Linked DNA regions of Drosophila melanogaster. The protein of the gene in region 2 binds, or shares a complex with, the protein of the main gene of each other region. Each region holds a gene or a part of one and is shown on either strand. Other genes may lie near its edges.

Region 1 (5,244 bases), on a different chromosome or scaffold from region 2:
CAATCAGCTTGTTTTTTCTTATTCGACAGTTCCACTTGGTGCAAAAGGAGGATGCTGGCACCCAGATGATCCTGGCCTCGGCCACCATGCCCACGAACACCAGAGAGATCCTTCACAAAGTCATAGACGTGGACACCATCCGTGAGGTCGTCAGTCCGCACCTGCACCGACTGATGTCTCATGTGACGCAGAAGTTCCTGCGGCTGTCGAAGGCCGATCGGCCCGCCACACTTCTGTCACTCGTGAAGCATGATCTTGCCAAACGTCGCCCTCTTATCGTGTTCAGCAACAAGTCCACCACCAGTGACTTCGTTTCCATCTTCCTGAACAACAGCGGAGTGAACTGCTTAAATCTGAATGGGGATATGCTGATGAAGATCCGTCTTGGCCGCTTCGAGCAGTTCCAAAACGGTCACTGCGACGTCCTTTCCACCACCGATGTGGGAAGTCGTGGCCTGGATACCACACGAGCTCGACATGTGGTCAACTTTGACTTTCCGCTCCACGTCTCCGATTATATCCATCGTTGTGGCAGGATCGGTCGGGTGGGCAACATGGACAAGGCGCTAGTCACGAACCTGATATCATCGCGCCGCGAAATCGACGTCGTCCAGCGAATTGAGCACGCAGCTCGAACAGGTGGACTTCTGCCGGATGTGAATGCCAACATCCGAAACATTATCAACAAGCGGATTGTGGCGGAGATGAAAGCTGCAGGAATGCCCGTGCCCGCTTTGGGCTCACTAAATGGACATACGCCTCAGGAAGAAGCCTTTTAGTTCTGTGTTTTTATGTATTACGAGTAAAGTTGTATCACCTTTCGGAAGACCGAAGAGGAAGTCTAAAGTAAACGAAGAGTTTTATTGAGATCCCCAGGTCCTCCTGGACCTCCAGAAGGTCTTATAATACTTTCCCAAGTCCCTTTCAGATCCTTAGGTAGTGATAGCCACTGATGGGCGACCACTTTCTCACGTTGGTCAGGGGCTTAAAGAGTTTTCGTTTGGCGATCAGGATGTCGGAGCTGGCACCGCCACCCCCACCACCGTTCGCTGCCGACGAAGGCGAGTCTTCGGAGTGGGGAACAGTCGCAACCTTCGGCTTCAGCAGCACCGGGCGGCATCCTGCAAACTTAAAGCGGATGTTGCCCGCGCAGTTGAGCTGAAGATTTGGTGACTGAAGGTCGGGGAAAGCCTCGCAGAGCGTAGGCTTCGGTTTGAGTGCCTTGCTAGGATCGTCTCCGTGGCACATGGCTGCCGCAAGAGTACTCCATTCCAACCGACGCACTCCCGGCACTGATTCTATTCTGTAAGCGGGTTGTTTGGCCTTCACATACCGTCTGGTTACCATCTTTTCGTAGGCTCCTGCAATGATTTTTAGTTACTTAACCGCTTTTCATGGAACACATGGGTGTTTCTTACGCGCATAGTGGACCAAGAAGGGCTGCAGAGCAGCACCGCATCCGTACTCCAGCCATTCATACAGGTATACGTCATCATGACCGCCAAGGAAGATGGCAGCCGGAGCCAGATCCGGCCACAGGCTATCCGGGATTTCCTCGACGCGCAGTTTGTAGATGTAGGGAATAAACTCACGAAAGGCATATTCTCCCAGGGCAATGAGACCGCGCACTGCTCTACTGATATACCTAAAGTCTTAATTAAGAAATCCAAAGATAAGGATCCAGGCTAACAAATTGTAAGGATGATTTACCTCTCTCACTGCTGACGTGGCGACCTTCGAAGAATCTCGCTAGGCGTCTCTTGATCAAAAACAGGCACTCTGCATGTAGGTAACCACTTTGAGATGCCAGCTGTCCTATAGTTTCACACAGCTCGTCCACCAGGCCATTGCCGACTGGACAGGCAAAGTAGCTGGATAGGTGTTCCGCCTCCGGCTGAGGATTCAATTCCTCCTCCTCCGATTGCAGCTTGTAGATTGTGTGTTCCATGGTGCTCTCACCCGGAAACATCTGGGGTTCTTGCTCCTGTTTCTCTACTCCCATGACCTCCGGATTTTCCTGGGTTTCCGGATTATGGCACTGGTCTGGCTCAACCTTTAGTTCTTCTTCAAACTCCATTTTGATGGAGGTGGTTTGTCCCGGATCTGGGTCGACGTGTGGAGCTTTGATAGTTTCGTAAGGTGCCATTAGCTGGCTGACCAGTACCTCGGCCAGGTTGAAGTACTCCGGCCGGCAGGCATTGTGATTAGCAGTGGCGTTGTAGTTGCATGCTCGGAGCAGTCGCCAGCATCGCTGGCTCAAATGGTCCTGCTGCTTAAAGGCTAGCAACTGGACCATCTTACTCACAATCACTCGGTAGATAGATCCCATCAGGGGTGTCTGAAAAGCATGGCAGACGGCGGCCGTCTGGGATTTGCTGTCCGCAAAAAGGGCTGCCGTCACAAGACTCTGGACACACTGTCTTAGTTGGTCCATGTGCTTATCCTCCACTGGGCAGATGCTCTGAAAGTCTGCATCATCAGGTGTGCACAGATTGACTTCCTTCTGAAACTCCGCGCTCAGCTCGAAGATCTTATCCGAGTGAAAGTAAAAACTGCCGTCATAGTCGATCCGGTCCCAGTCGCTGTCCATCGCACCCAGCATAGGCGGCACATCGGCATCTTTTAGCACTTCGTTCACCAGGTCGTATGTCACCACTCCGCCCGAGTGGCGCGAGTATATTTTGACATTCTGAGAGATCAAGAGGTTAGAGGGATTAAAGAGGTGTATTACGGTCGACTTACATTGATCAGCTCCCAGACTTTGTAGGAGGCATCTTCCGCCAAACGGGCGCACACATCCTGGGAGAGTTCCACATCGGTCTGGTCGTGCTGCTCCCAAAAGATCTTGATGCTGCGCGGATCGAAACCAGCATAGCTCTTCTGATGACCCTACAGTAAAGAGAGCTTGTACCATAAGAGGGCCCTGAGATTGGCATCCTTACCATTCGACTGGAGTTGCCAGAGGCTTCTGCGCCCGCGATGCCGCCTGCAAGTCCGTGCCCACCACTTCCTGCTACCGCAAATGAGGCGTCAAACAGATTGTAGTTACCCAGACTAGATGTTGGCGTGGTGGGCGTTGTCACCATGTTTAGGTGAGTGGGCGTGGCCGGCAGGCTGCCCACTGCAACGCCCCCGCTCACTGCGGATGCGATGGAGGATGATGCGGATGCCGACAGGGAATTCTTTCCAGTCAACTCCAATTTCGCCGACTTAGATCGCGACTTAGTGGACTTTTTGCTGACTTTGCTGTGCGATGACTTGTTCAGCTCGTCAGTATTGCTGGCGCCAGAGGTTTTCATCTTCTTGGTTTTGTATAATTCATAAATGTATATATTTTCAACAGTTGGTAAATAAACAACGAAGCTGCACCACAAAATAAACAAATCTTGCCAGATTATTAACCCAACTATCGATGGTGCCAACGACTTATCGATATATTGATGAGCACTCGACTGTTTTCAAGCCAAGCCCGATAACACCAGTACTGATAAGAATAACAACATAATTGGTATTCGAATTTAATTCCATTTATTTAAATGCTATAAACACAATGGCAGAAGCGGCAAATGTGCGCCAGAACCTTCAAAATGTGCCGTCGATCTTCGAAATTTCAGCGTCAGAGACGCTGGACAACCTGATTTACCCGGCACTGAGCAAGATATTCGACTACTTTGGACTACGCCTGGACTTTAAACTATGGGGGAGTTTGAGGATTCAGGAGGAGCTGTCGCCATTGCTGACTTGGCTGCTGCAGTACCTGTATCTGCGCAAGAGGGCCTCCTCTTTCGGTGAGAGCTTTTACGGATTGCAAAGGACGGTCACAACCACTGGGGATCTGCTGAACCGCAGGCAGCAGTTCGCCTCTGCCACACTGCTAACCTTCATGCCTTACGTGGAGCGGAAGCTAAGGACCAGGATCACCAGGCACGAGGACACCAGTCCCTGGGAGCAACGCCTTCTAAGCGCATTCCATGCTTTCCATGCCGCCAAGGCGGCGCACACATTCTTTTACCTCGTAAAGTACGCCTCAAACCACTCGCCCATCTTCAGATTGTTGGGGCTGACCCTTCGCTATCCCAGCGAACCTCCCAAAGAGGATCAGTGGACCTACGTGGTCCTAAAGATGCTGGAGGTCTTGGCCTTCTTCCTGCAGTTCGTCCAGTGGTGGTACTCCAACGACCAGCGGCGGAAAGTGGGTGGAACTCTGATAAATCCCGAAGCGATGCCGAGAAAGCAGCTGCCCAAGGAAGTGCAGCAGAGCCTTCCCCAGCGGGGAGAGTGCCCAGTCTGCCTGCTGTCCATCCAGACGCCCACTGCCTGCTCCGTTTCCGGCTACGTCTTTTGCTGGAAGTGCATCGTTAGCCACATGAAGGAGCACGGCACCTGCCCGGTCACCCACTATCCCATCAGTCTGGACGACCTGGTGCGCATCTACGAGACGTAACGTTAAGCATTCCTTTTATGTTTTTTGCTTGTTTTTGTTTAATACATTTTATAAGGAATTGGGAACTGTTTACATCTCGCTGAGGAAGAAACCCAAACGTTGGTCGTAACATATGTAGACGTGGTAGAAGTCAAAGTAGACCGTGCATAGATAGATAAAGAAGCACTCACAGGAGATGAACTCGCCCATACCGAATACGGAGTAGGCTGCAGAGGATCCGGGGATTAGAATTGTAGACATCCTTCCATTCGGTTAGGTTCTACTCACCCAAGGGAAAGCAAAACTTCTGGTGTATAAAGTAAAAAATCCACATGACCACCACCCAGACGTAGTAGGTGAGCACCAGACCGCTCTTCAACCGCAAGGAGAATTCCTCATGCAGCTGCCCAATCCTATCGCTCATATAGTACTTGGCGCACACAAAGGAACCTGCCATGTAAATGGCACACGATACGAATAGCGACAAGGCGATGGTTATGTGCAGCAATGAGTCGCCATCCTCTTGGGGGAAGGTGCCCCATAGCAGTACGCTGGAACTACTGACAGCCATAATGATGGCCATCAGGCAGCCGAAACCTCGGACCGGCCTGCGCAGATTCCTCCGATAGAATCGGAACTGCAGCCATGCACTGGCAATGAGAAATGGGAACTCCAGGTAGCAAGCCAGAGCCCACACTTTGTGCTGAGACTTGGCAGCCGCCGATGTGGAGGGAAAGATGTTGAAGGCATTACAGGTGGTATACGTGGTGGACTGGAAGTCCGTGGTGATGGCCATCACCAGGTTGTACACCATGCAGACG
Region 2 (4,088 bases):
TTATCAGATAAACAAGCGGGTGATAGGAATAAGAAAAATTTCAAATAAATGGTTTTTAAAAGTTATTTTAAAAAGGTTTTTGGAAAAGATTTGGATTTTGCCTTTGCTATACAATCATGACCACAATTGCACATATGTACATATATTAAAAGTTCAAGTGACATTGAGCAATAATTCTTAATCCTTTTCAATTCACGGCAAAAGACAGAATGAAACCCGCCACCCATAACTGCGGAATGAATTTTAACCCCTTTACCCTTCGTTGCTATGCGTGTCACACACATTTATATGCACAACAGGAAGTTGATTATTAAGTGCGTTCGCGAGTTGCTTCTCTTAATGCCTTATGCTGCAGTCTCTCCTGCAATCCTGCGGCATCCTTGCTGGTCCTTCTCCTTCGCTCCGTCTGTGTGGCACACGTGCGAGTGCGCCTGTCGGCAAATTTCTTTATTGCGCTTTTATTTATCTGTCGGTGCCAGTTTCAACTTCGTTTACCGCTTCAATTTATCGGCTCCATGCGAGGCAGATTCACCCGTCCGTAATTGGAGTGCGTTTTTCTGTCTTTTAGTCGCAGCCTCAAAGGCCAGGATATGTGCCACAGGCAAATTGAATTAATGAATATGCCTAGTTGTTCTTGACCTCTCAGGAAAAAACTTTTTTAACGAGCCAAAATTGCTTTATTTTATAATTTGTATAATTAAAATGTAGAGCGCGTTAATTGTTGGGGATTGAATTACTTTAAATGAATTAATTGTACAGTCTATTTTTTGTGAATAAAATCAATAATTGACGCAAATAAAAATAGGCGAGGATATTAAGATCATTAAAACTTAAATGGCTAGAAAACTGCGCCGGAAATCGATGTCGCAAGAGTTGCGATACCGCCCAATCTTACGGCTGCTCATTTGCCGGAAACGGCGCATGGCCTCGTGGATCTCCGGTACACTGATTGGCTTGACCACCTCCATGCCGCGACCCTGTGTGACCTCCGGACAGACGTGCATCATAGCCGGACTGCCTCCGGCGGAGGTCACTCGGCTGTAGGGCTCGGTCGCACGGTTGTCCGAGTTCAGGCGCGTCAGGATCGAATAGTCGACAATGGCGGCAATGGTCTCATGCGCCAGATAGGCCAAAATGTTCATTGTCGGCGTTGGGATGCGAAGGTCCGCGGGCAGGTCCAGAAAGCGGCGGAACTTGTTCTTGATCTTCTCCCCATGGCGGCAGTAGAATGACGTCTTGCGCGCCTCATTGAACTCCAGGTATTGCTGGCCCGTAAGGATCTGCGATATCCGATCTGCGCGGAATAATCTTCGCATTCGGTCCTCGTCGTGTAGCTCGTACACATCGATGGCCAGCTCCTCGTCCTCCTCCTGCTGCTCCAAGTCGTCCATGAAGTCCTGCGGCCTTCCCGTGCGGATACTAAGGAACCTTTTGAGTATGCGCATATCCTTGAGGTGCTTTCGCATCCGAGCTATCTTCACCGGATGGTTGCGCATCAGGAACTCAAAGTCCGCCTGCGACGGGCAGGGATTCTGTTTCCGCCGCATGGCCACCAGCGAAGCCTCATTGAAGATGCCGCGCAGCTGCTGCTGCAGGATCTGCTCCACCAGCTTGACACTTCCCGTCCTGGGCTGATCGCTGTCGCCGAAGCTTCGCATGATATCCGCAATCTCTGTGAGCAGTGAGACAGGTGCATCATCCGGAATGAGAACGTTGGCAACGTTGCTCCCGCTGGCACCACCGGCTACATTATGTCCAGCTAGGTTGATCTGCTGTGGCGAGGGATTCGTCGGTATGCTTCCACTTTGCAGCAGAATCACTTGGCGCTGCACAAGCAGTGGCTTGATGTCCTCGGTGGTCTGCAGTTGCGGCGTGCTGGGCGCCGAGGGCGGGGCAGGTCCAATCATTATCGGCGACGCTGCCATGTCGTTGGAACCCACGCAAACCGAGTTCTGTCGCATTACTCGCTTGGCGTTGTAGTTCATTTTATTTACAAACAAAGTCACCACTTCAATCGCAACAGCTGATTTCGTGAGAATAGATAAAACCCTTTGTGAAAGCGATGGCCTATCGTTAGGGATGAACGATAGTGTAACGCATTTGTGCGACATCCGACTTTATATAAATACTGTATATTATATATATATTATTATATATATATATATATTCAGGTAACCAGAGCGGCCGAGTATTGTGCCAAATAGAAAAATGTCAACACTTGTATTTTTATTTCCCTTAATTTGTATCTCTGCATTAAATGCAAAACAATCGGTTCAGCAAACTTCAGTTCCGAACCAGTAGTTCCACTGTAGTCTACGCACCACCATTTTTGTTTGCGGATGATAACCCGTAAAGCAAAAGACAACAAATCGGATTAAACAATTACCTTAAGATGTTCAACGGGATGGTGAGAACCATCCGCGACAGCGTCGTGGGCACCTATCCGTCCTGCCACGTATCCTCGCGGCTGGAGGAGCGCAGGGCCAAGCAGCGGGCGATGCGACAGGAGCGTAGACGAAAACCGGACAAACCAGACGACTTTGTTACTTACGAGGATTCCGGCAGCGACGAGGAGACGCCCCAACAGCAGGAGGAGGTCCTGAACACATCCTACAACCTGTGCGACTACCTGCGCAGCCGGGAGAGTGGACTCCGAGATGTGGGTATATGTTGTGAAGTCGCACCACTTGCATTGCTAACGTGAACTTTGTCCCACCATCCTCTGCAGCGTCGCAGTGTCAATGTGGAGTACACCAGCCGCTATGTGCTAACCCACGACATGCTGCGCGAGACGCAGATTAGTCTGGGCTACATCAACAAGGTCTTCTGCTCCAAGTGGCTGAGCAGTCGACAAGTGGTTTTCGGGACCAAGTGCAATAAACTGCTCGTCTACGATGTGAACATGCGCCGGGTGGACGCCATCCCAACGCTCTCAAATAGCCGGGCAAACCATCCTGAGGTCCAGGGTGGCCTGCATGCCATCGAGCTGTCGCCCAGCCGATCCTTCCTAGCCACCGGTGCGCGCAACTCCTCCGATATTGCTGTTTACCGACTGCCTACGCTGGATCCCGTCTGTGTGGGCGAGGGTGGGCACCGCGACCTTATAATGGGCATGTGCTGGCTGGATGACCAGTTTCTTGTGTCCGGATCGAAGGACTCGCGCATGGCTCTGTGGCGCATCAACGAGGATCACATGGAGTTTCCAGATGGCGGCGAGGAAGCGTGTCCCACATTCGCAACCATCCACCCCCTTAGTGTCAAGGAAGTTCGCACTGCCCAGAGGGTGAGCTTATGAATGCAAATCAAATCAAAGAACCATTTTATCAATAAGATCTTTTACAGATTCGATCTCTTTGCTTCAACAAGGAGTTTAAGGAGATCGCCGCCCTCTCGCTGAACGGATACATTCACATCTTCAATGCGGAGACCTTCAAGCAGACACTCTCACGAAAGCTGCCAAACTGCCAGGACAACGTGAGCATCGCCTACCACAGCGACGGCCTTTATGCCGTTGGATGCCGTTCCTATACCATCCTTTTGGACGCCCGAACCCTTCAAACCATTAAGAAGATCACATCTCGATACAGTGGCTGCGGTATACGGGCGACTTCGTTCGAAGGTAACCTGCTCACCGTTGGCACGGGTCTGGGCATGCTCCTATTCTACGACATTCGAGCCGGAAAGTATTTGGAGAGCAGTGTGAATGCCTCGCGCACAGTCGCACTCAAGTGCAGCAAAGGAATTGTGGTAAGTGAAGAGGTTACAGTTCCACAAAATACACCAATTCACCTAACTGTTTTGTACATTTCAGTATCCGGAGGATGAGATGGATGGCTTCCAGCAGGTGAAGTATGTGCCCGCCATCTACACCCACTGCTATGACAGCACTAGGATGCGCCTCTTCGCTGCAGGAGGACCACTGCCGGCGACTTTGGTGGGCAACTATGCGGGCGTTTGGCAATAGATTGGCATAGGATCCGATCCGGGCTCACAATACTGATTAGTATTTAAGTAGTTATTCGACTTGTGATCTTTAATCTTTTGGCGCATTTCGATTCAAATCGTTCACCTGCATATGTATTCCGCCA

The links.
Region 1: Spt3 (region 2) and Saf6 share a complex: the UniProt entries of both Drosophila melanogaster proteins name them as parts of the spt-Ada-Gcn5 acetyltransferase (SAGA) complex.

What each region holds. Positions count from the first base shown.
Region 1 is NT_033779.5:812,533-817,776, forward strand, and holds Saf6 (SAGA factor-like TAF6), read right to left. Parts: upstream 3,419-5,244; 5' UTR 3,300-3,418; coding exon 2,943-3,299; intron 2,890-2,942; coding exon 2,743-2,889; intron 2,690-2,742; coding exon 1,711-2,689; intron 1,653-1,710; coding exon 1,419-1,652; intron 1,362-1,418; coding exon 925-1,361; 3' UTR 782-924; downstream 1-781. Other genes in the region: Dbp21E2 (DEAD box protein 21E2), read left to right, coding at 30-779; Pex12 (peroxin 12), read left to right, coding at 3,551-4,444; CG15880 (uncharacterized protein), read right to left, coding at 4,514-4,650, 4,712-5,244. UniProt on the Drosophila melanogaster protein: Component of the transcription regulatory complex SAGA, a multiprotein complex that activates transcription by remodeling chromatin and mediating histone acetylation and deubiquitination. The SAGA complex predominantly acetylates histone H3.
Region 2 is NT_033777.3:12,015,123-12,019,210, reverse strand, and holds Spt3 (Spt3), read right to left. Parts: upstream 2,056-4,088; 5' UTR 1,986-2,055; coding exon 831-1,985; 3' UTR 661-830; downstream 1-660. Other genes in the region: DCAF12 (DDB1 and CUL4 associated factor 12), read left to right, coding at 2,393-2,659, 2,729-3,283, 3,343-3,747, 3,812-3,964. UniProt on the Drosophila melanogaster protein: Component of the transcription regulatory complex SAGA, a multiprotein complex that activates transcription by remodeling chromatin and mediating histone acetylation and deubiquitination. The SAGA complex predominantly acetylates histone H3.